4 linked regions of the Oryzias latipes genome follow. The protein of the gene in region 4 purifies or fractionates together with the protein of the main gene of each other region. This does not show direct contact. Links are inferred from orthologs where the notes say so. Each region holds a gene or a part of one and is shown on either strand. Other genes may lie near its edges. The genes, in order: tbc1d15, amfr, faf2 and ubac2.

The links.
Region 1: the proteins of ubac2 (region 4) and tbc1d15 purify together in Homo sapiens (affinity purification with mass spectrometry; 3 studies listed by BioGRID and IntAct, counting the BioPlex papers as one, with this or other methods). This does not show direct contact. The link is inferred for Oryzias latipes from reciprocal best matches to the Homo sapiens genes UBAC2 and TBC1D15.
Region 2: the proteins of ubac2 (region 4) and amfr purify together in Homo sapiens (affinity purification with western blotting; 4 studies listed by BioGRID and IntAct, with this or other methods). This does not show direct contact. The link is inferred for Oryzias latipes from reciprocal best matches to the Homo sapiens genes UBAC2 and AMFR.
Region 3: the proteins of ubac2 (region 4) and faf2 purify together in Homo sapiens (affinity purification with western blotting; 7 studies listed by BioGRID and IntAct, with this or other methods). This does not show direct contact. The link is inferred for Oryzias latipes from reciprocal best matches to the Homo sapiens genes UBAC2 and FAF2.

Annotation. Positions count from the first base shown.
Region 1 is NC_019864.2:5,644,823-5,651,877, forward strand, and holds the end of tbc1d15 (TBC1 domain family member 15), read left to right. Parts: intron 1-355; coding exon 356-472; intron 473-881; coding exon 882-968; intron 969-3,431; coding exon 3,432-3,581; 3' UTR 3,582-4,048; downstream 4,049-7,055. Other genes in the region: tph2 (tryptophan 5-hydroxylase 2), read left to right, coding at 5,776-5,955. UniProt on the Homo sapiens protein: Acts as a GTPase activating protein for RAB7A. Does not act on RAB4, RAB5 or RAB6.
Region 2 is NC_019861.2:26,261,766-26,270,282, forward strand, and holds the start of amfr (E3 ubiquitin-protein ligase AMFR), read right to left. Parts: upstream 5,136-8,517; 5' UTR 4,961-5,135; intron 4,476-4,960; 5' UTR 4,458-4,475; coding exon 4,203-4,457; intron 1,632-4,202; coding exon 1,539-1,631; intron 1,417-1,538; coding exon 1,252-1,416; intron 1-1,251. Other genes in the region: leukotriene B4 receptor 1, read left to right, coding at 7,469-8,482. UniProt on the Homo sapiens protein: E3 ubiquitin-protein ligase that mediates the polyubiquitination of lysine and cysteine residues on target proteins, such as CD3D, CYP3A4, CFTR, INSIG1, SOAT2/ACAT2 and APOB for proteasomal degradation.
Region 3 is NC_019868.2:20,365,657-20,374,284, reverse strand, and holds the start of faf2 (FAS-associated factor 2), read left to right. Parts: upstream 1-4,111; 5' UTR 4,112-4,174; coding exon 4,175-4,237; intron 4,238-5,279; coding exon 5,280-5,348; intron 5,349-5,709; coding exon 5,710-5,844; intron 5,845-6,049; coding exon 6,050-6,126; intron 6,127-6,216; coding exon 6,217-6,355; intron 6,356-6,462; coding exon 6,463-6,548; intron 6,549-7,875; coding exon 7,876-7,967; intron 7,968-8,410; coding exon 8,411-8,588; intron 8,589-8,628. Other genes in the region: pin4 (peptidyl-prolyl cis-trans isomerase NIMA-interacting 4), read left to right, coding at 1,847-1,966, 3,049-3,207. UniProt on the Homo sapiens protein: Plays an important role in endoplasmic reticulum-associated degradation (ERAD) that mediates ubiquitin-dependent degradation of misfolded endoplasmic reticulum proteins.
Region 4 is NC_019873.2:18,564,859-18,573,541, reverse strand, and holds the start of ubac2 (ubiquitin-associated domain-containing protein 2), read left to right. Parts: upstream 1-2,962; 5' UTR 2,963-3,116; coding exon 3,117-3,147; intron 3,148-3,481; coding exon 3,482-3,606; intron 3,607-5,002; coding exon 5,003-5,122; intron 5,123-5,489; coding exon 5,490-5,596; intron 5,597-5,808; coding exon 5,809-5,932; intron 5,933-6,066; coding exon 6,067-6,114; intron 6,115-7,029; coding exon 7,030-7,138; intron 7,139-7,952; coding exon 7,953-8,095; intron 8,096-8,199; coding exon 8,200-8,346; intron 8,347-8,455; coding exon 8,456-8,563; 3' UTR 8,564-8,683. UniProt on the Homo sapiens protein: Restricts trafficking of FAF2 from the endoplasmic reticulum to lipid droplets.

The sequences.
Region 1 (7,055 bases), on a different chromosome or scaffold from region 4:
ACAGAGTTTTAGGTTAAGTTATTTTTTACCTTACAGTGAATGCAGTTTTAAATTAAAACCATATGAACAGTATAAATAATACCAAGTATTCATTTATTCAGAGTCATTGTTGTCTATATCTTCAGCTGTGTATCAAACTAAATATCAAACACTCACAGCATCAGTGAGATTGTTGTCCAGGCGAACCTTTGCGGTCTCCAAGCTGTGACTCACTCTGGGTGCTTGTTATTGTTGAGCATGGATTGTTGTGTATAGCTGTGTTTAATGACGGTTTTTAGAAGATACAGAACTTGATGGATCAGGGCTCGGATCCTCCTGAGGTCTGACATGCCGTCTGCTCTCTGCTCTCACTCAGGTGTTGTGGACCGGGCTTCCCTGCCAGAACTTTCACCTGCTGGTGTGCTGTGCCATCCTGGATTCAGAAAAACAGAAGATCATGGAGGAGAACTTTGGCTTCAACGAGATTCTGAAGGTGAGTCCAGCCTGAAGGCCTCCAAGTAGGTCAGAAGGTTAGGAGTCAGGATTAAGAAGCAAGCAAGGAGTGAAAGACACACTCCCATGAAAATGATGTTTTTGTGGCATTTTTCTCATGATGGTGGACACGTATAAAGAAAGCTACGCTTAAAAGTGCACTTCTGAGTATTTCTTTTAAATCATAGTGAATCAGAAGCAGACAAAAAAAGCAGTTAGAAAAAGCTTCTTGCTGTTATGCACAAACTACAACCGGCAGGCCCAAGTCTCCCTGCTCCACTCATTTCTGATGCATCCACCTGCAGACCAAAAGATCCATGAACGTCTGAGCTGAAAAATCTATTGGTCACATCCGGACCACCTGTGACATCCATGCACGAGTCATTAATGTGTGCACGTGTTTGTTTCAGCACATCAATGAGCTCTCCATGAAGCTGGACATTGAGGAGATTCTGCAGAAGGCGGAAGGACTCTTCCTGCAGATGAAGAGCTGCAAGGTGAGCCTGGCACCTGCATGCCTGTGTCTGTGCATGCATACGTGTGCCTGTGCGTGCATGCGTGTGTCTGTGCGTGCATGCGTGTGTCTGTGCGTGCATGCGTGTGTCTGTGTGTACATGCTTGTGTCTGTGCTTACATGCGTGTGTCTGTGCGTGCCTGTGTGTAACTGTGCGTGCATGCATGTGTCTGTGCTTACATGCGTGTGTCTGTGCGTGCATGCGTGTGTCTGTGCGTGCATGCATGTGTCTGTGTGTACATGCTTGTGTCTGTGCGTGCATGCGTGTGTCTGTGCGTGCATGCATGTGTCTGTGTGTACATGCTTGTGTCTGTGCGTGCATGCATGTGTCTGTGTGTACATGCTTGTGTCTGTGCGGGCCTGTGTGTGTGTATGCGTGCCTGTGTGTGTCTGTGCGTGCATGCGTGTGTCTGTGCTTACATGCGTGTGTCTGTGCGTGCATGCATGTGTCTGTGTGTACATGCTTGTGTCTGTGCTTACATGCGTGTGTCTGTGCGTGCATGCGTGTGTCTGTGCGTGCATGCATGTGTCTGTGTGTACATGCTTGTGTCTGTGCTTACATGCGTGTGTCTGTGCTTACATGCGTGTGTCTGTGCGTGCATGCATGTGTCTGTGCGTGCATGCATGTGTCTGTGTGTACATGCTTGTGTCTGTGCTTACATGCGTGTGTCTGTGCGTGCATGCGTGTGTCTGTGCGTGCATGCATGTGTCTGTGCGTGCATGCGTGTGTCTGTGTGTACATGCTTGCGTCTGTGCTTACATGCGTGTGTCTGTGCGTGCATGCGTGTGTCTGTGCGTGCATGCATGTGTCTGTGCGTGCATGCGTGTGTCTGTGTGTACATGCTTGTGTCTGTGCTTACATGCGTGTGTCTGTGCGTGCATGCGTGTGTCTGTGCGTGCATGCGTGTGTCTGTGCGTGCATGCGTGTGTCTGTGCGTGCATGCATGTGTCTGTGCGTGCATGCATGTGTCTGTGCGTGCATGCAAGTGTCTGTGCGTGCATGCATGTGTCTGTGTGTACATGCTTGTGTCTGTGCTTACATGCGTGTGTCTGTGCGTGCATGCATGTGTCTGTGCGTGCATGCATGTGTCTGTGTGTACATGCTTGTGTCTGTGCTTACATGCGTGTGTCTGTGCGTGCATGCGTGTGTCTGTGCGTGCATGCGTGTGTCTGTGCGTGCATGCGTGTGTCTGTGCGTGCCTGTGTGTGTCTGTGCGTGCATGCGTGTGTCTGTGCTTACATGCGTGTGTCTGTGCGTGCATGCGTGTGTCTGTGCGTGCATGCATGTGTCTGTGCGTGCATGCGTGTGTCTGTGTGTACATGCTTGTGTCTGTGCTTACATGCGTGTGTCTGTGCGTGCATGCGTGTGTCTGTGCGTGCATGCGTGTGTCTGTGCGTGCATGCATGTGTCTGTGTGTACATGCTTGTGTCTGTGCTTACATGCGTGTGTCTGTGCGTGCCTGTGTGTGTCTGTGCGTGCATGCGTGTGTCTGTGCTTACATGCGTGTGTCTGTGCGTGCATGCATGTGTCTGTGCGTGCATGCGTGTGTCTGTGTGTACATGCTTGTGTCTGTGCTTACATGCGTGTGTCTGTGCGTGCATGCGTGTGTCTGTGCGTGCCTGTGTGTGTCTGTGCGTGCATGCATGTGTCTGTGCGTGCCTGTGTGTGTCTGTGCGTGCATGCATGCGTCTGTGCTTACATGCGTGTGTCTGTGCGTGCCTGTGTGTGTCTGTGCGTGCATGCATGTGTCTGTGCGTGCCTGTGTGTGTCTGTGCGTGCATGCATGTGTCTGTGTGTACATGCTTGTGTCTGTGCTTACATGCGTGTGTCTGTGCGTGCCTGTGTGTGTCTGTGCGTGCATGCGTGTGTCTGTGCTTACATGCGTGTGTCTGCGCGTGCATGCGTGTGTCTGTGCGTGCATGCATGTGTCTGTGCGTGCATGCGTGTGTCTGTGTGTACATGCTTGTGTCTGTGCTTACATGCGTGTGTCTGTGCGTGCCTGTGTGTGTCTGTGCGTGCATGCATGTGTCTGTGCTTACATGCGTGTGTCTGTGCGTGCATGCGTGTGTCTGTGCGTGCATGCATGTGTCTGTGTGTACATGCTTGTGTCTGTGCTTACATGCGTCTGTCTGTGCGTGCCTGTGTGTGTCTGTGCGTGCATGCATGTGTCTGTGCTTACATGCGTGTGTCTGTGCGTGCATGCGTGTGTCTGTGCGTGCATGCGTGTGTCTGTGCGTGCATGCGTGTGTCTGTGCGTGCATGCGTGTGTCTGTGCGTGCATGCATGTGTCTGTGCGTGCATGCGTGTGTCTGTGTGTACATGCTTGTGTCTGTGCTTACATGCGTGTGTCTGTGCGTGCATGCGCGTGTCTGTGCGTGCATGCGCGTGTCTTTGTGTACCTATGCGTGCATGTGTGTGCGAGTCTGACCTGGTTCTTCTCCTCAGGACCTACCTCGTTCTGTCAACACCATCCTTGGTCTTCAGGAGCAGTGCAGAGAGTCCGACAGCTCAGATTCTGGCTCCGCCGTGGCCCATCGGCCGGCTGACCGGCGGGAAGCCTGTTCCAATGGACACACAGGACACTCGTCACAGTGACGTCCCACGAGCTGGCGTCGTCCTTGGGGGGAGGAGGAGGGGAGCTGAATGAAAATCCTATTTTTGTAAATTGCTGCACATCTGTCCAGCTGCTGGATTTTTTTGGCCATATTTTATAAAAACTCTACAAGTTGGACAGGAACAGGAAGTGCTTTCTGACACGACGTACCTCTGCAGCCAGTCAGAGCCAGAGGGCCCAGTTCAGGAGCTGCCCGACTCACAGGCTGGCAGGCTACCCTGAAGAAAGCCGGCACCGTGTGCAGTCAGCTGGTTCTGGATCAGACCTCCTGCTGGATCGGGTCAACATGTGCTGCCTGATTGGCAGATGAGTTAAACACCAGAAGGAGCCCGGCAGTCTCCACCCTCGGAGTTCTGATTGGAACAGAGTTCTGGTTCTAAACTGATCCAGTGGGTCAGAACAGATCTGTCAAATGTAACTATGTAATAAAAGACCAATGTTTTCTTCAGCTCGAGTTCACTCATTTCAGACGTTTCTCACCTGTCGTGGGGGCGGAGCCTGAGTGGGAACAGGGCAGGATGCACGGGTTTATGGCTGTGTGTTGTCATCAGATGGCAGGAGGTTGTGATCAGAACCTGACCTAGACTCAGTGATTGGCTGCTGCTGTCTGCCCTCTGATGACATCATCAAATCAGCTTGACTGATCTCCTCCTTGGGAAACACTAAACCAGAATCTTCCTCTGGTTCTGAGGGATCCTGGTTGTAGTGGTGCTCACAGACCTTCAGGGTTGATTTGGAGGACGAGGAATGGCCTTGGAGTCTGGTGCTGCAGAACCAGTTCATGCAGCTCTGTATGAGATATATGACCAGAATGATCTCCTTCGTGGGACATCAGATAATAAAGCACCAGAACAGAACAGTGAGTTGTTTGTCCGCTCTGCCTGCAGGACGGTCCAGATCAGTTTGTTCTTCTTTATGCAGAGAAATAAGCCGGCCCCATTCGACCCGGTGATGAAGATGCTGAGGTACGGCAATGGTTCTGACTCCAGGAAGGAGCACCCTCTTTCATTTTTGAAATGTGCCGGCTGCTGCAAATGTCAGCTGCTTTCATGTGAGTGATGGACGTCCCCTCTTCCTCCTCACAGGCGTTAAGCTGAAGACAGAGGAAGAGGAGGGTATCTTCTGCCATCTGCTCATAAAGCTGCATCACATCCACAACAAAGCTCTTGCTTTCATTTCCTGTCTGGCAGGAAATTGGCTGCTGCTTCTTATCAGCTCCTCACCTTCAGAGCAGGCGAGCTGCGCTCCTCATCCTCGCTGAGGAGGAAGAGGCTCAGACAAGGACAAAACTGGAGCTCCAAACATCTGCTGAAAGGTCCTTTTTGGACACGAGAGATCAGAACAGAACTGCTACATGCTCAAGCAGTCCAGCTCGCAGTACTTAGGTTCTGACCCAAACTGTCAGAACTGGAGTCTGGACGGGACCAGAGGCAGAAAGGAGGTGGAAGATGGTCCCATCTATTTCTATGAAACTCAGTCGGGTCAGCACTGACCCGGTTTAGGTCTAAGTACGTAAAACTGCACAAACGTGCAGAACTGATGTAGAGTGGACCTGCTGAGACGCTTCAGTCATGAATGGATCTTCAGGATCTGCTTCTCTCCAATCTCCAGGAAGGTCTTCGGCAGCTTTGGATCACTCAGACGACTCGGGACCAGTCCAGATGGTTCTGTGCTTGGACAGATATTTGGACCTCTTCTGTCCTGGTTTAAGACCGTACCTGAACTTGGGGTTCTGGTTGTTGAATGGTCATCTTAGGCACCAGAAGATCCTACTGATGTTTGGACCTGAGGATTACAGTGAACTTGAACTTTACTGTACCACCGCTCAAGGTCCAGAAGAACCAGAACTCGGTTGGTTTATAGACTGAGACCACAGACAAGTCTGTCTGTCCTGTCCCTTCAGCTCTTCAACCCGGACTCAACCCACATGGACTCCAGATTCTGGTTCCAAGCTGAGTCTGTATCCTGTCTGCCACATCCGACTCTCTACAGAGTGGGCCCCACCCTCCCTAGCTGGCAAAATGAGCACCACAACTCATAGAGAGGAACAAATGGGAGGAGCATCCCCCTCCCTCAGGTATTTATGTGGAGGCGGGTCGGCGCTCACCCGCATCGCAGAAGCAGCAGCAGAACGGCACACTGGAGCCCTGGTACTCCTACACCCACTGGTTCCCCATGGCTTCAGGCCATGTGATGAAGGATGGCGGGCCAGAACCACCGCCCCCCCGAATGCAGCCGGCCATGATGATGTTCTCTAGCAGGTACTGGTCCAGGAGGGGACTTTCACTGGACTCAGCCATGTTTGATCACCGGAACCAGAACCTGCCGCAACAGAAGCACACTGGCGGGCAGATGGTAAGAGAAGGTCGCTCCATCCTCCTCCTCTGGTTCTGTCCTGATCCCACACCTCCTCACGGGGTGTGCTGCTGCCTGTCATCCTTTCATGATGCGGTTCTGTAAAGATGTGGTAGAACCTGCAGCTACGTGTTGAGGATGGGGGCAGATGAAAACGAAGCTTCAGGTTGCTCAGCTTCCTTTCCATCTGTGTCTCCTGTGTTTTTAAGATAAGATAAATCTCTATTGTCATTGCACAGTGTTACTTTGTCCAGAGTACAATGAAATGTGATACAGTCCCACATCAGTGACATTAGAGAAAAACAAATAATTATAATAAATAAAAGGGAGGGGGAGAGAAAAAACTAGTTCAATTTTTTTGAGCTGAGTGATCCACTGAAGTCTATTTAAAGATTTGAACATACAACTTGATTGATTGATTGATTGATTGATTGATTGATTGATTGATTGATTGATTTTTGAGCACTGTAGTCAAAGCAATAATGAAAGTACACAGATTGATCAAACTAATCACAGAAATGATGAAATGCATAGATAAAAAAACAGAAACTAAAACAAAACAAAGACACTTAAATCACATTTGCTTAATTAAATATACTGATCATTAACTAAAGTCAGGTAGAGCTTGATTTATTGCTTGGGAAGAAGCGAGTTTATAGAATTCCACCCCTACTGAGTTAATTCATTTGAAAGTTTTACATAGTTTTTGTAATCCGGTTCTGATCAGAAAAATTGTTTTCAAGTTACTAAATCCAGTTCTTAGTAATGATTGATCATCTTCAGAAAACATTAACTCATGATTTCAGTAAACAGTAACGGTAACCTTTATGTAATGATCATCAATTATCATTAGAACACATGATCACAATAAACCAGTAATTATTGCTACACATTGCAGATCAAGTAAAGAAAATCGATAGCTTATTGATTGTAATTTATGATTGTATTTGTTCATGTATTTGGAATTATTCAAACACCTGTTGATCCTTAACTCCTCTTATCGTCATATCCTGAAATCAGAGTTTATTTCTACATTTTCTTGAATATTTGGATATCTGAACATTGTCTGAGCTCATTACTGAACCCGTTCCAAAGTTTAG
Region 2 (8,517 bases), on a different chromosome or scaffold from region 4:
TACCAACTCAGACTGCATCACATGAGAGCTACAACATTTATTTCATCGTGTTTTAAATGGGAAGGCTTGTAGAAGAAGATTAAATTTGATACTTTGTTTTGCCCAACATGCAGAACACTATTTGATCCAGGGGGAAGCCAATATAGCAAGTGAAACTGTACCACCAACATGCTGTCACAAGAGGCTAATAATAGATCTAAGGCTAAGACTTTATGATACAAGACACTTGAAACAATCTTCTGAAGAAAATATACAGTCTTGCTATAACATTCACAAAGCAGTTTTTGAATAGTTTATGTAAACCAAAGCTAAAGTATAAGTTTTAAACAAGTGCTGTCATGTATCCAGTATAGGAGAGAACCAAAACCTGTAAAGCCTGACTAAACATCGTAGATTAGATATCCAGCATTAGTATCCTAATTTACAAATTGTTAACAATATCAGAACTGCCAAAACAAGATTAGACATGTTTAAATTAGGCCTGCACAATAATTTGCAAATTTATCGTTATCCCGATATCAAGCTGTGCAATATGCAGATCGCAAAAGACGGCAAAAAATTGCTATAAATGGTTACCTTAAATGTGCTAAAACAATCTTATGGCAGCTTGGAGTGTTTAACGAATCAAATAAATCCATTTATGCATTCGACCAATCCGATGGAAGCCTTTTATGTCAGATGTTCATCTCCTGTGTCAATAAGGGTCATTTGGTGTATAATTTTCAAACTGTTTCAATTAAATGAGAAAGATGTTTGGTTGATGGTTGTTTTGCTATTTGTTCCTTTACCACAAGTTATATCGTTATTGCAATATTATTAACTAATATTGCAAATCGCGGGTTTTCCTCATATCGTGCAGCCCTAATGTTTATTCTAAATACAAATTCTAGCTCCTAAGATAAAATAACTTAAGTTTCAGAAAATACATTTTTCTAACACTTTGTTCTTTCTTGGTAAACATCTGCCAATCAAAAACATGCAGTCTTTTGACCACTCTTAATTCAGAAGTTGATGAACTCCATATATCTAAAACTAAATAAAAAAATGAAACAAAAGTTTCCATAAAAATCTCTTGCAGTTCAAATTCTGCTTTTTTGTTAAATAATTGTCAAGCTAACATCTTGAGTTTAATTGCATGGCAGCAATTAGATAAATATATAAAAAATATTTAGAACAAATTATTAAATGCCTCCACAAAAACAACAACAGCCAGGAAGAGTTGAAATTAAAATGTTCGCTCCCCATACTTACATATTCAAAGCGGTCTTTGCAAAGCTGCACCATGAGATGGAGAAAAACCAGAGCTGAGAACCACAAGCACCACATGACCACCTCCTCAACGGTTTGCACATTCAAGACTCCAAAGATGAAAATGAATTTGTAGAAGATAAAGTTCCAAAATTTGTCTTTGAGATGCTGCAGGGGATGAGAAAAGAAGGACAATATAATTATTTGTATTAGTGTCTGTTGAATGTCAGCTAAAACACTTTTAAAGAAACTAAACCCATTAGTTGAATTTAAGACAATTAAAAACTCACCTGCTTCTCACTGACTCGTAGAGGTCCAAAGACCACATACTGAATCATTTTTGCAATTAGCATCAAGGAGCAGCAGAATGTATTCACCAACACCTAGGAAATGGTATAAAGTAACAGTGAGTTTTGGTAGATGCACTCGTTATATTAGTAGGAGTGTAACCATTAATCAATTCATTGATGAATATTCCTATGATTCAACCAGATCCTTCTGTCAGAGGGAAGTTATGAATCATATCAACTTATAGTTTTTTAAAATCATTTCAGAATGAAATTAATTGATTACAATCGGTATTGGAAAATACCATTTGGATTAAGACACGGTAGGTTTATTTTACTAAAACGTAAAACCGATAAAGTGCATCACAGCGGACAACACACACAATGACAGCAAAAAATGATCAAGTCATCATTACAGTCCAATGTGTGGAAAAACTTGGAATTTTGCAAAGATATGTGACCATAGAGTGTGCTAGACTGTTTTAATAATGTTCAGTTTGGATTATTTTCATGTGGGAAAACAACAGTGGGCTGAACTTCATGAAACTAAAATTGCCATTGGATCTTGTTTTCTTGTATGTTTGTACACATATTTAATGTACAATTTCTGGTGTAACTTCCCCTGTACCATTCAGTACCCAGGTATTCATCTCTGAGTCACACTGGTTGAATTTTTGCCTAAAGATGTCCTAGCAGGTACTGCAAAGGGTGTCACTGTGCATGACGTTTGTACTGTGGCCGAGAGGTGTAAGACACATTTACATTTAAGATACAACAACAACAAATCCCGGTACAAACAAAGAAATACTGAAACACAACATCAAATCACGAAATACAACACCAAATCATGGAACAAATTACTGAGTCCTGAAACACAACAGCTGATCCGGGGGGAAATGACCAAATACAGAATTACAAAAAACAACCCTGTTACAATTGACCAAATCCAGAAACACAACAACAAAAGCAGGTCACGGCTTCTAACAGAAAAGACATAATATAAAACCAATTGACTATGATTTTTTTAAAGTTATTTATTACTGTTTTCTTTATGTGGACATTTTAATTACACGAAACATTCCAAAAGCATTTTTTAAATTGTGTTACTACAATACAAAATAAAAAAATGTTTAGTAAGGTAAAGTTTTTGCGTCACATCTGGTAGTAATGGTATTCCCTTTCCGTTGGCAGCTGCTCGCTTTCGTTCATTTTTTTCTCCTTCTTCTGAAGTCGTGTTTTGCACTAGTGCAAGCTTAATGGAAAGGGAATACCATTATTACCGGAAGTGCAGCAAAAACTTTACCTTGCTAACACATTGTTGTAATTTGTATTGTAGTAATAAAATTTAAAAAAATGCTTTTGGATTGTTTCATGTATTGAAAATGTCCACTTTAAAAAAAACAGTGATAAAGAAATGTAAAAAATCATACATAATTAGTTATGTATTACGTCACTTCCGGGATTCAGGATGTTAGAAGCCGTTTCTCCACTTTCCTTGTTGTGTTTCTGCATTTGTTCGTTTGTACCGAGATTGTTTTTTTGATTTGGTATTTGGTAATTTATACCCGGATTTGCTTTTGGGTTTCAGGACTCTGTAATTTCTTCAGTGATTTGCTTTTGTGTTTCAGTATTTGTTCATTTGTTCCAAAATTGTTTTTAGTGCTTCATGATTTGTTTGTTTGTTCCAGGATTTGTTAATGGTTGTATCTCAAATGTAAATGTGTCTTGCAGCTCTCGGCCATCATATGTTTGCGCATGTTTGCTTCACCGTTGAAGAACTTTGTTTCCGCGTTGGAAAATGTACAGCGATGAAATACCCTTCACTGTGTGTACTGGGATAGCTTATACTTTGATTTTGATTTGAAACAAGGTAGAGTGGACTTAGCGGACATTTGTGAGAAAATGGCAGCTTTCTCATGGCTTTGGATCATGAGTCATGGATAGTGAAAAGGCACAAGATAAATTAGGTCCCAAAAACCACCCGCCAACACATCATCAAGGAACCTTGATGAACCGCGCGAGGTTCGTCGTTGCGGACCCAAGTCTCACAAGTCGCATCGTGACAAACAATGTTAAAGAGCGCGGTAACAAACGGTCACAGGTTCAAGTCCCTAATACAGAATAATAAACCGCACTCAGCAGAGGTAAAGTATGCAATAGTATACATTGAATGATCTTCTGAAAAATATTCAACATTGCTGAATCCCTTGAATAATGTCCTGTGACAGATTGATGGTGTTTAGAGCACAGATAGAGAAGCTGTGGCATCGAAAGAGACATTAAAAAAAAAAAAAAACTTGATATATCTATACATGATTACCGGGTTTTCCCATTGTTTTCCGCAAAACAAAGGTGATCAGCAAGACGTAATATAATAATAACTTAATTTGAGGTCTATTGGGCCATTTCATTTATTTCTGTGTTCAGAATTGGAAGCTCTACCATTTGTGGTCACCAACTTTCGTCACTGGACCTTAGAAAATTGTGGCTTGTGTTCCCTAGTCCTCGACTCATTTTAGGTCAGTGAATCGAATCATATCAGACCATTAAAAATGAATCAATATTGAGTATTAAGAAACCACAAATTAGGATATGAATCAGACCATTGTTAAAATGAATTGTCACACCCCTACATTAGTCTAACGTTTTAAAGTGAGTGAAACTTACCCACACAAACAGACTGTCGGTCACAAGATACCACAGGATCGTTGTTGCCAGTTCTGAGTTACTGACAGCATTGCTTAGGTGTTCAAGATCGACGTGGGAGGGAGCAGGTGTATCGTCCGGTTCCAAGGCCCCAAAGCCGGGGTCTGTCACCGTAGGGTAGGCACTGAAGATGCTCCCAGCGAGTAAAGCCACACTCAATACTGTGTAAGTCTGCAAACTGGGCCACGGAAACCTCTCCAGAAACATTAGAGGCATTGCAGTGGGTGCAGTAGTCTTCAACGAAAAAAGGAAGAAAAAAAAGTCTGTTAACAAACAACACACATCTGGATTAGCCAATGTTGGCCTGACTTTAAACAGCTAAACAGATTATGTAATCAATGGGGTTTGCAATTTGAGGGCGATACCAATTCACCAATACTGGCAAGTTTAAAATAATAATCATTAGTAAAATTATATGAATATAAAATCTAAAGCAATAAAATGCTAATACAGACTAACGCAGGAAGTGGCTAACCCCCATAAGCTTCTTTAATTAAAAAAAATATATCAAGTTCGTTCGGTTTTTTGTCTTTGGGTGTATTTTAATAAATAATCAAACCAAAAATATTCAAATAGAATAATTAAAGTGAGTTAACATGTCCAGTGTTAGTAATTCACCTAGCTAACGTTACCTAATACTAGCTAGTTTGTTAGCCAATCTTTGCTGCGAAGCTAAAACCAATCGCCGAACTGCGGCTTTGTGTCTAGACTCCACTTACAGTTCCTTACAGACAACGTTTGACCCAATATCCCGGGTAATGTCCTAATCACTGGACCGAGTTTTAGTGCAGCTGCACGAAGAAGATCATAGAGGACGACAACATCGTCATGTTTACGCCACCGAGCAGAGCGACAGGCTGAACGGCTGACTCGCGAGCTGCTTCTTCTTGGTTGCGCAGGGAAACTACGTCATCGTGGCTGTTTAAAGGCATCGCCATTCAAATCATATTTCACACGATTTCACACGATTTCGCTGCTACCTACTCACTTCACACACTTAAAATATCATTTACCTTTGCTGCTATCAGCTGCACGAATCCACTTGTAATGTGTTATTTAAAATGTGCTATAAACCACGAAGACAGGAACGGGTAGTTTCTAGAACAAAGAAGAAAAGTCGCGACTCATTCGGGAGAGCAGGAGACGTCGTTTCTTTGGAAATTCACCCCTAATGACAGCAGGGTAGACGTTTATGCATGTAATGATGAGACCAATCAGATTAGATAGATTTTTTTCAAAGTAATAAATATGTATTTATACATAAAAACTCACTTCACAATGTTAGGAAATTAGTGTTTGGTAGATAATTCGATATAACACCAGCCCTTTAAAAAATGATCATATATTAGAACCATACATTTGTATTTTTAAAAAGTTTTTTTTTTTTTATGGGCAGCAGAGCAGATTGAGTTGCATCAATAAAGAATTTGCCCAATTTTTTAAACCAATGACACACGTCTTAAATGTATGACGTCATTGCCTCAGTTTTACATTTGTGAAACCTTCAGGTGGCCTTTACTGTAATTGAATACGTTTGGAATGCTAGCTTTGGTTATTGCAGCTGATGTCCTTTTTGATTCCTTGATGTTTTGTTTTGACAATTTGAAGGATCAGCTTGGGGCTGTTGTAGTACCAGCACAACCAGGCTGCCAGCCCATGGTAGACTAATGTGATGGCATCCCAAAGCAGTGTGTGACCAGAAGAGGTCCAAGGCTATTGTGGATGTGTTTAGCTCTTCCACATATTATAAACCCAATAACCCACAGACAGCGTAATCACTATTTCCAGCTAAAAAAAAAGTACGTTTAGAGTCAAAGTAGTTTAATTCATGGCGTCAATGGGGTTTGTCAATATAAAAATAAATTGCCAAATTGCTCATATTTTTTGTTTATTCAAACTTCAAACACTCAAAGATTTAATTTTAGAATAATGTTTTTGGTGCTGGGAGAGAAGATTTTGCACATTTATCACAAGTTTATTATAAAGTAACTCAATTTAAAAGGATAGTAAATAAAATTTAACACAGTAAGTTTTTTTTTTTAAGATGCATTATAACAATACATCCTGTAACAAACACATTTCCTTTTTTTCCTTTTACAATAAAAATAAATAAAACTATCTACCTAAACAGAAATTCGTGCATACGAATACAAACTTCAGAGTCAGGTAATATCTATTAATATTGAACAAACTGTGTAATAAAACAAACGTACCAATTGTTGAGTGAAGAAGAAGAAAAAAAGCTGTTTTATAATAAAGTCATGACAGAATTCCAGGTACCGATTGCTTTCATGTTCCAGCTTTCACTCTTCATTAACATATATTTTATATTAATATTTATTTATATATTTTGTAAAATCAAAAATTAGGAACTAGATCATGATGAAGGGTAACGACAGATAAGATAGAATAAACTTGAAACTTCATAGCCAGATGTTAATTATTAGCTACTCTAAAAGAGGACAGAAATGAAGTTGCAGTCCAAAGTTAACATTTATGGGAGTGTTGTAACAGATTCAAATTCAGAAAAAAAAAAGAAGTTACTTTGCTTTGGATTTTCTTTCATCCCTGAGCTGGACTTTTGGTGAAGTGTAACTTCAGGTAATCTGTTTTCTTCTACTTGAGTGTTTCTAGATCTGTCAGTGCCATGGGAGATTGCACTTTCACTCACATTTCAGCTTTTTTGCTATTGATCGGCACATCTCACGGGACACGGTGATCAAAGAAAAAGCACTGTATGTTCTCGTTGCCTTGAAAAATCAACGATTTTATACATTCTAAGTTATGATTATGAAACAAGTTAGTGAGATATAAGCATAGACAAAGTCATAATATGGATGTCTTTTCCTCCTTTTCTTTTTCAGCTTTTGCCTGGAATCCTGAATCAGTGGCCAAAACCAGCAGTCTCCTTCTCAAGATCTGGATCTTCATTTAACAGCAATCATTTCTGTTAGATAAGAGACATTTTTTCCCCACAGGATGTGGTTGGTACAACAACAAAAAAACAGGAGAAAAAAAACAAGAAAAAATATGTCTAAGCAATTTTACTAAAACACACAACATTGCAAATGCAACAACAGTAGCCATGTGATAATTGGGTCCTTGAAAATACATGGTTTCTGTTCAGTTTTCACAAAAAGGGAAGTGGAGTATTGTTTTTGGAGACGTTTAAATCATTTCTTAGTCAGACAGAAGAGAACGTTAGAAGTAGAATTCATTTTTGGAGGATGAATCCCTTCACTGTGGAATCCCCCACAGAGGCTCCTGAGGAGTATGGCACCGGGACTGCACTGGCATGCGTCATTCTGGGCCTGTCTTTTTTGATCGGAGTTCCAGGAAACCTGTTTGTGATTTGGACCATCCTGAGATCCATGAAGAAGCGTTCACACACGGTGATGCTCATCTTGCATCTTGCTGTTGCAGACACCGTGGTCCTCATCACCCTGCCTCTGTGGATTTACTCCATGGCGCACACCTGGGAGTTTGGAGAAGGAACCTGCAAAGCTTTGGTGTACTTCATCAGTACCTGCATGTACAGCAGCATCTTCTTCATCACTCTAATGAGTGTGGAACGTTTTGTAGCGATTTCTCATCCATTTGTAATGCTGCGCTGGGGGAGCAAAGGTTCTATGAACACATTTCTTCTATTTTTGTGGCTCCTTGCCTTTTCTCTTGGAACGCCAGCCATCCTGACCCAAACTTTAAACGAAGCTGGTGGAGTTACCCAGTGTTTTTCTAGAGAGTTCAGCACTGATACCCAAGCAATCATCATCGTGTGCCTGGAGACACTAGCAGGATTTGTACTTCCTTTAATCATTCTTTCCATCTGTAGCTGTCATGTCAGCATGAAAATCAAGAAACTGAGTTTTAATTCAAAGCCAAAGTCAGTGGTTCTTATTCACGCTGTGCTGATTGCTTTCATATTGTGTTGGTTGCCTCACCATATTATCAACATCATTACTGTCATTTCCCTGGTGATATCAGACACTGAACAGGAATACGTCCCTGAGTATCTTGTCTTAAGCTCTGGTGCTCTTGTTTTCATTAGCAGCTCGGTAAATCCCATGTTGTATGCTTTCTTTGCAAAGAATTTCAGAGGAAGTCTGGAAGGCTCTCGCCTGGTTAGGCTGTTTCAGGAAATGACTGTTTATACAAATAAACTCAGAGAGCTGGCAGTACAGCAGCAGTCGGATCAGGGGCCATCCACCCAGGAAGTGTTAATATCTGATAGTACATGTTAAAAATACCTTAAACCTGTGAAACTAAATATGAAACA
Region 3 (8,628 bases), on a different chromosome or scaffold from region 4:
TGTATTCCTGTGCAAAGCGGGACTTCTTAGTTAAAATGCTAAACTATGGAGCCTGGAACATGAAATTCAAAAAACAAAACAAAAAACTCAATTTGTTCCTCAAATTAATAATATTCGTGTGCACAAATTAGTATTTCGTGGACACAAATTGGAATTTTCTGTGCACAAATTGATATTTTGTGGCTACAAATTACCGTATTGTTTTTTTGCACACAAAGTAGTGTTTTGTTACCATAAATTAGTATTAAGAATAAATGTTTTGCCAGTTTTAGCTCGGAGCAATACGTAAGTTCCACCCAACAAAATGACACAGTTGGAAAATCTCACATTAGTAACGATTACATCTCATGTTGCTTTAGTAATGTCAACACCTACAGGTGACTCCTCTTTTCTTATTTTACTGTTAGTCTCAAATTTGTAGGAACATTATGATCAATTTAAAAACAACACATTTCTGCAGTGTTACGGAATGGCTGTAGATTCTATTACAGTTTACTTGCGATTTTGATAAATACACTATGAGTCAAAAATCTATGTGTTTCCAGCTTTTTAGTGAAAAGTATTCAGTGGAATATCTTGTCATATTTTGAAATGAAAGAATAGTACTAATGCATTACCGGATTTACAAAATGAAAACCTGGAGCACTTACTAACGTACAGCTGAACACAAATGCAGCTTTCTATCTACAATAGAAATGAAATATGTTTCAGAAAGTTCTTTCTGCATAAATATTTGCCACCTATTGGTTGCTTTGCTATAACTTTTCTGATTACCGGTGGTTCATCCCAAACCAACTCAATGGCGTTCAGTGCTGGCCCCTCCCTGTCAGTTTCGCAGCGTGTGTTGTTCCATCAGGTGACATGGGGGAATTCATTTGCTAGTTAGTGAAAGTACTAGCATCAAGCTACTTTGTTCGTTTTACAGGACAGATGATTTGATTCATGGGATCTAGTGGCTGTTTAGGTTTCTCAAAAAGAACTTTCAGCAAAAAGTCGTTTTCTGCGAGTTCTGGGCTCAAAGGCATCATTGCCATAAATCTGTTACCTCACCTGAAGTATTATCCTCTGACAACAAGAGAAATCCCTCAAACTCTGCGGCCAAATCTCCACTTAAACACAGAAACGCACAAAAAAACACATTAATCTGTGATGGACCAGGCAATCACGGCTGAGAGGACTGGAACTTAATCCAAAAATAAATCCTTTTTAATGTCGAACAATGTTGTCAAGGTCCAACTGGTTTAAAAGAGGTCAACGTTAACTCCAAATAATTCCTTACTAACGTAAGGAAAGAATCAAATGACTGACCTGTCATTACCACACAGCCGAGGACTTTTAAATGAGTGGGTTAAACCACTACTGATACCATGGGGGGGTTGAAGCAAAAACATCAACAACGGGAGAACAGAGAAACTATTCCCTTCCCCATGGATTACAGATAGTGGCTGTTGGAGAGCTTCTCAGTTCGGCACCATCTTTAGGCCACCTCAGGCAGGTACAGCTCCACATGACAACTCAAAGCAACAAACAATTAGTATACACAAATAACCACACTAAAAGTACACATAAAATCAAGTGGAACTGTACACTACACCTTAATGTTAATCCTGTGTGACCGCAGTCATCTTTTTTTTTCTAAAATGATCCAATTTTGATTTAAAAAATAAAAAAAATTCCTTTCCAGTTTTTGGTTGAAAGGTTCACTAATTACCTTTTTGCACCATTTCAAGCTTTTCATTGGACTTTTATTTCCTGGATAAAAAATAACAGACAGTTGCAGTGTTCTTAATCTGTTGACTGCTAGTGCGTGTCTTGAAACCAAAGTTTCTTTTGGATTGTTCTTTAGGTTCGACATATCCTCTGTGAAAAACATGGAAAATGCATGGAGGCCATGGAGAAACTGAAGGCCGGTGTCCGCTTCAGTGAAGTAGCATCACAGTACAGTGAAGACAAAGCCAGACAAGGAGTAAGTCTGCCTTTTAATGATTCATTGGTCATAAAAAAATGTCCTTTTACTTTGTTTAAACTCTAAGGAGTTCGTTTCTACCATAAAAAGGTAAAAATGTCTGCCGTAATTGTATTTATCTAAAGTAAAAACAAATAATAAATACTTTAGATTTGTAATTAATATGTGGTGTCCGAATTTTTTGAACTCTTGATTAATCCAATTTATGCAGCCTGTCATGAATTTAGTTAATTTTAGTTTCTTTGTATATTTAAACAAATCATAGGTACAACATAAAAGAATGAGTGAGACTCATATAGGTTTATCAGATGTCTAACATATGATGTAAACAATGTAACTAAAATAGGATGAAAAGTTTAAAAGACAAAAAAACTCATCATTCAGAGTAACATACTAAAAAATATCACAAAAAATAAATAAAGAGCAATACATTCTAATGTCTCAACAGCAAAAGTTAATGGGGCTTCTGCTAAAGAAAATGCCAATCCATTCAGAAAAACGTCAAGTCTAAAATGTTGTCTTTTTTATGGATTGAAAACATAATAGATCATTATTATATGGCCTGAAATTTTTACTTAATCCATCTCTGTTTCTTAAAAAAAACACTATGCTTTATACATACTTAGGAAGAAAAATGGTAGAGTTTAGTGGAAATATATATATAAATTGACATAAAAAAATGGGTTAAACATAGCTATGTTGTGGCTAAGCTGTTTTATTTGTTTTCTACTATTAAGAGCGATTCTCTTTTATATTTCAATAGATGACAGTGAATGTTCAAAACATACAACATAACTATACAGTTATGCTAGAATTAAGCTAAAAGGCTAGTTTTCATTTAGACTTCTTGGTCAGTCAAAAAGCCATGAAGAAAATCCACAAACCATATTAAAAAAGAACAATTAGAAGAAAGACACACAGAGTGTAAACTGTGTTACAGTAGATTTTACAAAAGGTCATAGTTAAAAATGAGCATTCTATACCAAGGGAAACAAAGAGTCTATCAAATTAATATAATATTAAGTAAATTAAATTATTATTACAATTTTTTTGTGGTTCCCTCATCATTGTGTTGTCAACAGGGTGACCTGGGCTGGATGACTCGAGGATCAATGGTCGGACCTTTCCAGGAGGCGGCGTTTGCGTTACCCATCAGTTCAATGGACAAACCGGTTTATACAGACCCTCCTGTCAAGACAAAGTTTGGGTATCACATCATTATGGTTGAGGGGAAAAAGTAAAATTAGCCTCTCTCTCTATGAGATTGGACAAAACAGTGATATGTGCAAAAGCCAAAAGGACCAGACAAACATATGATTGAAACTTGCGCAGCAATTTTGTGAACTACTTCAACAAGATTGGCTTTTGGAATTTTCTGGATTTTTCTTTGCAGTTTAAGGTGTTTCGTTGAATTCCAATAATAAAATAAAGACGTTCCAAATAAATGCCTTTTTTAATCATTTGGTGTCAATTGTGTGATACTTTCAGAAAAAAACAAAGATAAAATCATGTTCTGGTATTCTGAAAAGTAAGATTCACTTTTATAAATGTGAACATGACTATATTACATATAAAATGTGCTTTATGGACATTTGTTTTACATTTTAAATACTTTTACTGTATACTTTTACTTTTAACTTACCCCAATCATATTTAATAAAAAAATGATAGGTAAATCTAAGCAATTTTAGAAAGATACTAAATAATTACAATAATTATACTGTAATGACAAAATTAATAATATCTATCTATGTATATCTATCTATCTATCTATCTCTCTCTATATATATGTGTGTGTGTGTGTGTGTGTGTGTATGTATATATATATATATATATATATATATATATATATATATATATATACACACACACACACACATATATATATAGAGAGAGATAGATAGATAGATATATGTGTGTGTGTGTATATATTGATATACAGTATATATTTATATATATAGATATATCTATTTACATAAAGACAAATTAATTTAAATAACGAAGACTGGTGTTATTTTTAGCTTTTAATTAAACACTATATTGTTAGTTTCTTTTTTTCTTTCTTTATATTTTTGTATTTTTATTTGTTGGTCTTCTGGGTGACAGCCAGAACAGTAGGGGGCAGCACGCTGCACACCGCGTGACGGAACCGCACCAGGAAAAGACGGTTGACGTTGTTAAGCCTTGCTAGATGATTGGCGAGGTAAGATGGCGGCGCCAGAGGAGCCAGAATTATCCCAGGCGCAGACCGAAAAACTCCTTCAATTTCAGGTAGACAGACTAAGTTTTTTTCATTTCCACACACATGTGTGATAGCTTGTGTGTCGGTATGTTTTTGCCGATAGTGAGTCACCGTTAACTTGTTAAGATTTGTATGTGGGAACCCTTTTTGCACGGTCAACTTCGATAATTCCCCCCAACGTCAACTTGAGTCAGAGCTGGCGTTAGCGAGGCTAGCTAAAATAGCTAAGCTAGTTAACTAGTTAGCCGACTTTCAGGGACACAGAGTGGCTTTAAAAACGCTACTTTTATTTTGTGTTGTAAAAAAAAACACAACCAGTCCTTATCTTAAATATTCTACCTACCTTCGTACTATTTTCTTTTTTTTTTAATTTAAATACCATTTTAGGTTTTCACTGACGTTCCCTATGAGCATTAGCACATCTGTCATTCTAACCTGATTCTTTCTGGAGTTTTAGGGAGAAAAGAAAAACCGTTCCAGTTGTGTCAATAGATCTTACGTTGCAACACAGAGACTTGTCTGCTCGTGTTTGTCGTTATACCCGAGATCAGAATTCTTCAGACTGTAGGAGGATCGCCTCTCAGTCACATTTAACGTAATTGTTTGTGGATTCATTTTTTTCGCGTAATCTTTCAAATCCCAAGTTTCTGTTACAAACGAGCAGGCCAGAGCTTACATTTGAAAACAAAAGTCAATTTACTGCCACATAAAGGCTACATTAGTGAGATCATTAGTCTGTCAGCTACATCATCATGCTGTTTCTATTTTTTTTTTCAGCCATTTCAGAGCCCTAAATATTTATAAAATCATTGTTTGTTTGTTTTTCCTCATAAAAATCTGTTACTCTTAAGTTCTTCGAGGCTGCCAACCTGTGGTGAACTAATGATCTAATACTGTGAGAGGAATGTTGATAGATCTATTTGTGTCTGTTTAAAAGCTTTTTTATTTTTTTTTATTTTTTTAACATTAAATTTGAGGCTTAAGGAGGGGGACCTTGGCAAAAAAAATCTGACTAGTTTTACATTCTTTCCGCTGTCATCATCAGCTTGACTTTCACTTCACGTTTAACAGGATTTAACAGGTTTGGAATCAATGGACCAATGTCGCCGAACATTAGAGCAACATAATTGGAACATAGAGGTATGTTTTCTTTTTTCTCCAAATATATGCTCACATTGTGGACCCTATGAGGGTCTCTTTGAAAAATCAGTGAACAGTTTTTAATGTCGAATCAGCAGTTATTGATTAACTGCTACTGTGAATAGGAGACATTGGAGAAGCAATTGTTTTGACTTTTAACCACTGAAAGAAACTGTATCATTACAATTAAATTACATTAAAACAAAAATAATGATTCAAACGGGTATTTTAATTTGTCATTGGATTTTCATTTTGCTTGCTTGAATGTACAAACTGAAAATTCTCTGATCACTGTCCAAACAATTGGAGCTTCAGCTATTGTAAAGTGTGACTGTCTAGAAATGCTGTGTTTGGTTTTCAGGCTGCAGTGCAAGACAGACTCAATGAGCAGGAAGGAGTTCCTAGTGTGTTCAATCCTCCTCCATCCAGACCGCTTCAGGTTAACACAGCAGACCATAGAGTTTATAGTTACATCGTTTCACGGCCTCAACCCCGGGTATGTCTTTATTCGTATTATCTCAACCCCAGATAAGATTAGTAGAAAAAAATTGTTTATTCTAGCTTGATATGTATGGTCTTTGAAACTATGGCACTGTTGTTTTTCTAGAAGTCGTCTCTGTTTTTCTTTTGATTTGTCATTGTGTGTTGCTGTTCAGTTTTTATTTATTTATTATTAATTGCTATTAAATGCTATTTTGCAGGGATTACTAGGATGGAGTTACTACTTGATAATGCTCCCCTTCAGATTTACATATTACACACTCCTGGACATATTCAGGTAATTGAATCACATCTGCTTAAGGTACTTTTGCTCATTTATGCATTAAAGCAATAGAGTTTCACATGTGTCCTCCCCTTTATTTTCAAGGTTTGCCCTACGGTTCATTAGGCCAGATCCTCGCGGTCGCGTGACAGACCCTGTTGGAGATGTGGTGTCTTTTATTCAAAGTTTTGAAGAGAAGTATGGCCGGTCACATCCTGTGTTTTACCAGGGGACCTACAGCCAGGTGAAAAGATAGTTGGAGAGAATAGAAACACATTTAACAGAAGCGGATAGATGGAATGGCATAGAAACTGAGCACGTTTGTGTTGTCTGTTTGTGTTTGCTTTGCAGGCACTGAATGATGCCAAACGGGAACTCCGCTACCTGTTAGTGTATCTTCATGGAGACGACCATCAAGACACAGACGAGTTTTGCCGGTATAGTAATCATCTTTGTGTTGTGGCCATCTGGACTCCTGAATATGTAGCACTCATTCAAAGACTGTTGATATATTAGCCCAATAGAGCTGTTACGAGTATCTGAATACTCGAATATTTACAATCTGTTCCCGAAAATGCAACTACAATGTGATGTCAGAGATTTCCGAATTATGATCTTCCAAATACCAAAAATCTAATTATGTTGTCTGAAGTGTATTTTTACTATGAAATGTAGTGAAAATACACTTCAGACCATGTAATTACTGCTCAAAGATGCTATTAAATTACAAATTTTCAGTTTATATACTAAACAAACTGAATGTGCAACTGTTAGGGAAGTAAATGAAATTTCAGAGTAAAGTGTCGGTGAAGGTTCTTATTTTCTAATGACTTAGATAAAAAAAAAAGACTGAAGTTCAGTTTACTAATATGTGTTCTGAAAAAAATAAATTTGTTTGAAATATATTAATAAAAATAAAGATGAATAGGAATTTTAGAATATTATGAAAATTGTATCAATTTCCTTTTAAGTTTTTTTTTGTTTTCTCGATTGAACATTACAGAACAAGGCTTAACACAGCGAACCAGCAAAAGAATCCAGTAATTACAGCCGGAAACCCAAATGCAGAACAACAGACAATGGCGAGACAGAGTAAACGCAGTTTTGTTATGCGGGGCTTGTGTTCTTCTGTCTGGAGACACTTTGTCAGTTTAGATCAAAGGACTGTTTTCTTGTTGCTACAGAGTTGCTTTTATTTAGGTATTGCTGTGTCTTTTCGTAATTTATTTACTGTAATTATAGTCAGCTAAAATTTGAGGTTTGAAAATCTGTGGAGGACATTTTCAGTAGTTTGTTGTAAAATGGCACAAACAGCTGTGACATTTGTTTTGTTTACTGCAGAAGTCAACCAGGAAGTTCACCGAAGAACTTTTGAGGGTGACACTGTTTAAAGTGATCATTTCTTTCTTAGTGTTTTTATATTTTATTTTTCATTTAGCCTGGTCTCCTCTTTAAGATAAAGGTATAGATGATGATGATTAAATACATACTATTTCACTTCTAATTCATCCATTGCAAAGATATTCAGTGGTGGGCAAAATTGTTGGTAGCCTTCAGTTAAAGAAAGTCCACAATACTCACTGAATGTTTATGGAAAATAGTGAGAATTTGGGTTTGATTTCAGATGGCTTAAGTAACAATCTACAGCTCTATCCATTTATTGAATTTAACATCTGTATAAAAAAATGTATAGCTAGCTGCTTTGGGATAATATATCCAGACTAAAGAAGTATTTGTTTTGTTATCTACTGTTTCCCTTTTTAGTTCGACGTTATGTACAGAAGAAGTCATAACCTTCCTCAACACACAAATGCTGTTTTGGGCATGTTCAACCAGCAAGCCTGAAGGCTACAGAGGTTTGTCCTTTTTATGCCGTCAGTCAAATACTTTTGTAAAATGTCACTCGTTGTTCTGAACATCAAGTTCATGTTTGATAAAATAAGGTTCTTTCTAATGCAATTTATCCATATTTAATTACCAAGACAGGGTTATTTTTAATAAGGAAATCTGCATCATTGACATTCATATTTTAGTACAAAGTAATTTTTACTCTGGTGTTGTAAAATAATGTTTCTAAAGGTACTGTTTTATATAATAATTTCAAAGATGCTGCTTTTTATCTTAAATATTTTTAATTTATAAAAAAATATAGCTTATTAAATCTGCATAGCCATTTAACTCAGACCTTGGAGTGGCACAAATATATCCAAAAGGAAAATGTTTTATTATGAATTAGTAGCATCCCGCTTCTGCTCCAACAAAAGTACTTGAGTGTCTGGTTTGAATGTTGTGGTTGAAGTGTCCCAAGCTTTGCGGGAGAACACCTATCCATTCCTGGCCATGATCATGCTCAAGGACCGCAGGATGACTGTGGTGGGCAGACTGGAGGGTCTCATTCAGCCAGAAGACTTCATCAATCAGCTCACCTTCATCATGGATGCCAACCAAACATATCTGATGTCAGAGCGCCTTGAACGGTGTGTGAAACGGGATCTTTTTTAATATCTTAACAGGAAA
Region 4 (8,683 bases):
TCAGCAGCAGGAGTTGGTATAATTCTGGGACACAATGACCTTAGACACCCTCCAAAAACCCAAACTTAACTGGACCAGAACAGTGCCCTGCTGATGTAAGAGACCTAAACTTGATACTGAGCTTACTCCTGTTTAATTACAGATAACAATCACATTTTTCTTCCAACTTGCATCAAGATTTCTATATAAATTTGTTTTGATTTTGAGAATGCCGTTCATCGAATTGAATATTTCTGCAGCCCGATTCAAGCTGTCATTTAAAATGTTGTATATGTGTGTTTCAAAACATTGGCTTTTGTAGCACCAATAATAAGCTGAGTCTTTATTTTTAGTGCTTTCAAACTACAGTCTAGCAAATGATGGTTATTACACAATCTTAAAATGAATATCTGAGTATGTGTAAGTTTAAAGGATTGAAAGAGAAACAAAAAGTGTGAATGCGTTTGAAAAACAGTCCAATTGAATGCATTAGAGTTTGTTCTGGAGTCAGCAAAATGTTATCTTAAAGTTTTTTACGTATTAATCTTCAGGTTTCTACTCATTTAACTTTGTCAAAAATGTCTCAGTTTCCTTAGCAAAATCAGACAAACTGTGGAGCGGGACTTAAAAAAGCCTCTGACACGGACAAGTGCTTCCTGAAAATATTTCCAGTGAATTGTAAGAATTTACAGAAATGTGTGAGAATGAGTCACCGGGTTTTGCTAAAATCACCTCAGAGGCTGGCTTACTGAAAGCGTTGGTGACTTCATCCGGTGCTACTTCTCCTCTGTCATGCTCCCTTGTAACAGTCACTGTGTCACATAAACACACACATACACACACACATTCCTCACAATTCAATGAGTAGCATTGTCCTGCTGAGAGATGTGTAATGGAAAAGATAAATGGAGGATAAAGCTAAGGTGACAGGACTGAGCATGCATGTGTCTTCCTGTATTTGCATGTGTGTGTGCGTGTGTCTGCGTGTGTGCACTGCACAACAGACCAGCAAACCATCTGCTCATCTCCTCTTAATGAACAAAGCAAACAGCAGGAGTCAAGGCTGTCTCCAAATCTGGGGTCCCTTTATTGGTGAGCGCACACAAACTCGCACACACACACAATTCTGCACTGTTTAATCTGATTATCTTTGATTGAGAACAGGGGCAAAGCAACCTTTTTAGACCTCAGTCCCACATCAGTGACAGAGAAGGTCTGAAACACAATTAGCAAGCTGTTACTGAGCTCTGCTTTGCAGTCACATCTGACCAAAGGCAGCCAAATGAACCAAATGTGTGGGAACTAACCAATGGAAAATAACACAACTGCATCTGTGGCCGATGAGGAAATTCAACTCTATTAGACAGCTGTTCACCAAACATTTTCGTATGTACTTGGACAAAACACGAGCCGTGGATCAAATGGCTCAGGCGCAAGCATGGCCAGGCAGGAAGTGTTACTCACATTTTGATGTGAATAAAACCGGCAGCCAATTGAAAATAAGACAGAGCAGGATATCTGCAAAGGAAGTCTGGACCTTGACAAGATATGACACTGTGTGCAGAAAGCCAGAAGACCATAAGAAAAAGTAATTAATCTGGACTTTGTGTAGCCACATCCTGCTCACAGACTAAAATGCTGTTACCACTTTGTCAGAAACCAACTCACACAACTTGGAGACGTGCAACATTCCTCATGCTGCTTGGATGCATAGCTGACATGAAATTAATTTTACACACAGAGCAAATACTTGTTGATGATATGCCTCAAGATAGAACATGATTAGGACTTAACTTTAAGGGTCATGGAATTCTGTCTTAGGTTAATAAAAGACACCGATTTGGATATTTAGTAAAATGACCTTTCATTCAGTGAGAAATCTGGGTACCTTATCTGCCTTCATAAAATGCTGAATAAGATACAAATCCCTAGCTGTAGGGAAGTTGTAGATGTCAGATCAGTGGATTGCAACCAATGAATACATACCTCATGTTGGTGAATAACTAGTTAAATTACAAATTGAAATGTTCGGCTTCCATTGCAGCAGAAATGCAGTTTAGGAAAAAGAAAACAGAAGTAAAAACTAACTTCCTACATATTTTTATTTAAAGACTTGGTTCTTGATTTTAGAACTTTTTTTTTACATTGTTGAGTAATACATTTGATGTGTCTCCATCTAAAGATATCTCATGTAACATTTTTTTACATGTTTTTTCTATTTACATTTCTGGGCTTTCAAATCAGATCAAAACCAACAATTTTTCTATTGATCATGACTATAATAGTGATGTATATTTTAATTAATCTAATAAGGCCATGTTACATAAATTAGAATACTTGCTAATACATACTTGTTTTCTTTCTGGTTCATTTCTGATTTGTTGATTACTTGTTGCTAGAATGTGAGTTGATCATTTGATCGGGGCTGTGGGATCACCCTAATCTGTATGGTAAGGTATCCTGCACTGCAGCCTCATGTGGGCCCCAACTCCTTGTAATCTGGGTGGTCTTGTGATGATAGCCTCTGAGAGCATGAGTGGGATGGCCCCTCCTATGGACAGTTTCCCATTATAAAATATTGTTCCCTCACTTCAGTAACAAGCCAGAACTTCCACCTATTATTATTATTATTATTATTATTATTATTATTATTATTATTATTATTATTATTATTATTATTATTATTAACACTGTTTTCTTTCAAACAAAAAAATCTATTTTTTGTGTTTATAAGTTACATTTTGATTGATTGGTTTTATGATCAAACATGAAAACAAAAGAAAAACTTTTTTTGATGAGTCTTTCGTCAGTTTATTTAAACTTTAAATACTTCTGTACGTTTAAAAAACATGTATTTTAATTTAAGTAATTTTTTAGATTTAATTTAACACAGGTGCTTTGGTGAACGGAGCAACGGCGCCATCTACAGGTATTTCCCTTGCAAACGTATTTCTGCTTTTTGACAAGGTACTTTTTGTTCACGTCAGGCTTCCGTAGCTACCTCCTTCCCCTGCCACCTTCCCGTCATAGTGACAGCATGGGTTCTTTCACAAACTTTATGTCAATGTTTTATTATTAGTTTGTTTTGGTACTGGATTATCGGCTATTTTCTGGATTCCTTTGCCCACATAGACCCCATGTTTACCACCACCGGGTCCCGGGGCCTCTGTAAGTTTACCGGGTGACAAGTTAACTCGAACGCTTCCTTCAGTTCCTCCAGCACCTAAGCTAAGCTAGCCTACTTTAGTATTGCGTTGTCGTTAATTTACTTAATGTGATATCCCGAGCTAGAACCGTCGTGTTTAGTCGAAACAAAGAAAATATCTGATATATGATGATTTGCCTCTTAATTCAATTCTTTATTTCAATAATGTGAATTTTGGCTATTATTAGTTCCACTAATGTGAACTGTGCTACCTACAGTTGTAGGAAACGGAATGAACTCAAACATTAGGCAAGCCCATTTATCACGGTTTAATCGAAAGCGATTGTGTTTTTGCAGACAAGGCTCCTCTGTCCAAAAGCCTTCTGTTAGTCCTCAATGGACTGACTCTGATGCTGATCCTTCTGCCTCAATACCAAGAACTCTTCATCTACAACCTGCAGGCTCTCACACAACAGCAGCAGGTATGTTTGTTTGGGAGCTACACTGTCAAATGCACTGTTTACACAACATCTAAAAACAAATAAAAACATGGAATCATAAGTTAAAATAGCTAAAAAGATAAGAAAGAACAGAAATAAATATAAGAAAGGGAGGTAAACACCTTATTTGTGAGAATCTCCTGAAAAGGTTTAAGGATTGTTTTGATGTCGTTGCATCTATTTCCCTCAACTTTTGCTGAACAAAACTCGTGCAGCAACATCTGAACTCTAGGTAATCCATGGCCTGCTAACAGCTCATATGTCTCCACTTGCCATTTTCAGAAGCTGGTTTTTGAGAAACTGCAGAATAACTGGAAGTATAGTGCAGCACAAACAAGAACCCAAAAAAATTGTTTTTTTTTTTTTTCAAAATATTCCTCTAAACAGAAATATAAATGTTTATTTCTGTACACTGCAAACACGGCAATGAGATTTGTTTCATTAAAAAATAGTTGGATCCATTGATATATATTATTATATTGTGTATATACATATATCAATGGTTGCATCCCTTCTTTTTTTAAATGAGTTTGTTTTGTGTACAATTAAAGTGGTTAGCTATGTACTTTCTATGACGTAGGTACATATACCCTTGTTGGAAATTGGACTTTCTACTTGTTACTGCTCTTTACTCTTTTTATTTATTAAAATGTACCTCTTCCTCTTCAAATGATTTAAACTAGGCCTGCACAATAAATAACAAATTTATTGTTATCACAAAAGACGGCAAAAATTAGCAATAAACGGTTACTTTAAATGTGCTTTAAGAATCTTATACCAGCTCAAAGTGTTTTGCCAATCAAATAAATCCCTTTATGCATTTGACCAATCGGATGGTCATATATCGCACGTTATATTGTCTTTGCAAAATTGATCATTAATATCGCGTATCGCGAGTTTTCCTCATATCGTGCAGCCCTCATTTACACCATGACCACTTTTTGCACATTGATCTCTTCTGTTTGTCTTCAGCTGCTCCAATCTCATTGCATTTAACAATTGTGAAGACAATAAATGATTCTGACAGTTTAGTTTTATTCATTTAGTATTTTTTATTTTTATTTTTTTTGTTTTCACAACAACCCATGTTAACCATGTTGACCTCAGCGTAATAGAAAAAATATGAGAAATGTGTTCTGTGGTCCAATTAGTTTGTGGTTTATTCCACATTTTTAGAGATAATTCTGGTTACTTAACAGGTGTTTTTTTTATATATCTGTACTTCAATTTTCTAACTTTATTTAGTTCAACCTTTTTGTTCTGTTCACTATGATAAAGAACACAAACATCCAAATGCTTTGAAAATTGAACTGTATATGCTTTATGTTTTCCATAATGTTTTTTTTTTTTACATTTTATTTTTTTCCATGTTTTCTAGGTGTGGAGGTTGTTGTGTGGAAGACTTGTCTGTCTAGATGTTAAGGACTGCTTTTGCTGTAGCCTGCTGATTTACAACTTTAGGATCTTTGAGAGGAGGTTCGGCACCAGGAAGTTTGCCGTGAGTGTTTAAGTGGAGGATGCTCTTCCTCACTAAAGTTTCTCTCTTTGGATAGTTTCTCTTTTTTGGGGCAGAGATGAAACCTTGTCTTGAACTCTAGTGCTGGACAAAGATACAAGTTCTTGGTTCTGGGTAGCATTGCAGATTTAGTCTTTCGAAAAACCACCTAAAGATGAGCACAAAACTGGAAAGAAATGACAGATTCAGTCAGTGTGCGGAGAAATTATTATTGAGAACTGTTTTGCAGGATGAGTCTGAGCTTTATTTGCGGTTAAATCTCCAAACCTGCCTTAAAAAAAAGAAGATGATTGTATTTGATGCTGTTCACTACTCCTGTCATCTGACTCTTTGCTGTTTTTGTTTTCAGTCCTTTCTATTGGGCACTTGGTGTTTCTCTGCCCTCACAGACTTTGTGTTGGTTCAGGCTTTTCAGCATCTGTTTGACTATGAAGTGGAAGAACTTCCTGCTGGACTGTGAGTTCATTACAATTCTAATCCATGTGTCACATCTCTGAAAAGCAGAGGTTTTTATTGACAATCACACTTTTGCTAATAAGTTTTGAGCATTGCAGAGTTTAAAGGCACGATCAAATTGTGCGTCAGTTAAAAAAAGACTGCTGTTTCAAATAATCTTTTCCTTCGTCTTAGAACTTTTCTTTTCTTTTCCTTCTTTATTTTCCTGACAGGCTTGCACCAGTTTTTTCTTTGTTCGTGCCTTTCTACCTGTCAATCCCCAGGATGCCAGTCACCCAAATACTTGGTCACATCCACATCACCAACAAATCTCTGGTGTACATAGTTGGCTTGCAGGTAAAACCAGTATTCTGCTATTGTGACTAAGCATGTTTATCGTAGTTTATCTCCTGCTGGTTTTTCTTTTTTGTTTTTTTTGGAGTTGTTACATGCTTTCTCTGTCTTCTTCCCTGAATCCTTCTGTGATGCAGCTACTGACTTCCAGCCCCTTCATGTGGCTCCTTGCTCTTAGTGGACTGGTGAGTTACCATCAATCCTGAATGTTACTGTAAAGTACTAGTTTTGATGACTCATGATGGAATGTGCTTCGAGTTATTCAACTATTATCACCGATAATATCACAGATTTCACATTGATGGCAAATCGGCGTAAATAGTTGACAGTTTGCTAGTTCAGCCACATAAACGGATGTCATGAGCATCACTCTCAGCAGTTGCTCCTGTTAGCTTAACCTAAGTGTCATTCGTTTGTGGTCTGCCATACTAGTTTTTTTTTAAGCTTTTTTTTTTTTTTTTTGCTGCTACTTTGACAATACAAAAATATTAGGGAGAATTTACAATTCTTGTTTATTAATTTTACTGAATCAACAGCATTTTTGTCTTTCTTACATGTATGTGCTGCAGGGATCCAACAATTCATTTTCCCCAGGATTCGGTTAAAACCTCAATTTTTGGGTCATGATTTTGATTCGATATGTGATTTGTGTATTACAAAACACAAACAAAAAACGTGACATCTTGATTTTATTTTATTTTTTTTTTATTTGCTAATAAGCAAGTAAGGGCTTAAGCTAAGCTTACCAGTAGTCTAATGTAATAAAACAATAAATAAATCCTTCTTAAATTCAGCACAGCAGTTGTTTGAGACTTTTAACGTAAACATACTTGTAGAGATGCTTCAATTCACGTACAATTTACTAGCTAGCAATAAATAACCATTTATTGCACATTAAGTGCATGTTCTCATGAAAGGTTTTGATCCTTAAAAGAAATGTGTTTTAACATACTTCTCTGTTTAGATTATGGCCTGGCTATGACTCTTTTTTATTTTTTATTTTATTTTTCTTGCTCCTCTGTTGCTAAAATCACTTCTGACTGATGTTTTTTTTCTTTTTCGTTTTATTGAGATTGCATTTTCTTGAATGTGCTTTTCAGGTCTCGGGCGGGCTGTACCTCTCCAATATTTTGTGGGTCCAGAAGATTCTCTTTGTTCCTGCATGGGTGTCTCGTATCGCCCGGTATATTCTGGAGCCCATCGTCTCAAGTGAGGACAGTTGTTGAGTGCAAACAGAAATTCAAAATGAGATGTCTTGAATACTACTGAAAGAAAATGACATAGACTGGTACAGAGTAAGATTTATTTTTTTAAATAAAAATACCAAAATACAACAAAGGATAAGTTTTTAAAACTCAACATGTACCAGCAGTATTAGTACAGCAGACATGGTGCGAAAGACTTAAAACATTAAAGGTAATAAGCAATTGATGGAGTTAAAAATTAGATTAGAGTGGAGGCTAAAATTTACATATGTATGAAAATACTCAAACTCAATCAAAAAATATTAACAAAACAAAAAATAAAGAAATATTTTTGCAGTCAAGACATGTATTCAGCTTTGTTATGAAATACTTTCAAAATGAGGACAAAATTCTTACCATAATGAATAAGTAGGTAATTTCATCTGTCAAAGTAAACTTTCTCTTTATCATGAACAATAATTATCATTTTCATTGTTTTTCTGATATTAATATAACTAACTTAAAGAAAGTAATGTAAAGAAATGCAGTACAGCAACTTTGTTATCATAGTTTTACCATTGCATGCTTTTTCTTTATTATAAAAATGACCATGTCAAAGTTTACAACTTTTTTCCTAATAATAAAAAGAAAACGTTCCAGCAACCTGGATTTGAAGCCATCAAGTTTGAAGGCATGTGTTCAAAAAATGATGTAGGTTGATTTGTAGAAGTGATACCCATCTCCTCCAACTCCTGGAGATGAAGTTGTAAACATAAAATATTGGTATTATTAGCAAGTTTTCTTGACGGTATCTTAATATTGAATCGTTATTTTTCAAGGCTCCCAGCCAAGCAATGAGACGCCTCTGGGGATGGGGGCCACTCTGGACATTCAGAGGCAGCAGAGAATGGATCTGCTGGACCAGCAGCTGCTCTTGGCCCAATATAACGAGGCTGGAAGGAACGCCACACGTCAGCCTCAGGTCCGTGCACAGATTGAATGCAAAATGAAGGGATCGCATTGGTGGAATCTTGATGGTCAACTCCTTTCTGGGCGGGGGTTGTGTGTACACGTGTGTGCGTGTAGGCTGGGCTATTACAGTGGACCAGGTTGTTATCTTCTCTGAGGCACCGTGGGCAGAATGGACCCCCAATGCAGCCCCAACCTCAGGCTCAGACACACCAGTCCCCTCAGCCACCATCACTGAACAATTCTCCTGTTGCAGAGGAACAGGTTTGTGTCCTATTTGTCCTTAGTCGTGTTGGGTTTATATACTTTTTTAAAGTTTGGTGCACAAAGTCATTGAATATTAATCCGTACATCTGTCATTTTTGTTCCACAGGTGGCACGGTTAGTGGAAATGGGCTTTTCCAGAACCGATGCCCTGGAGGCCCTCAGAGCTTCGAATAATGATATTAATATTGCGACGAACTTCCTTCTCCAGCACTGAAGGAAAAACGCTCAGAGATGGGGAATAACAAACACAAAATGTAATAAAAAAATTTAATAAGCAGACAGACAAAGAATGCAGGTCTAATAAGAAACTAAAGCAGAGTAAAAAAAAAAAAAG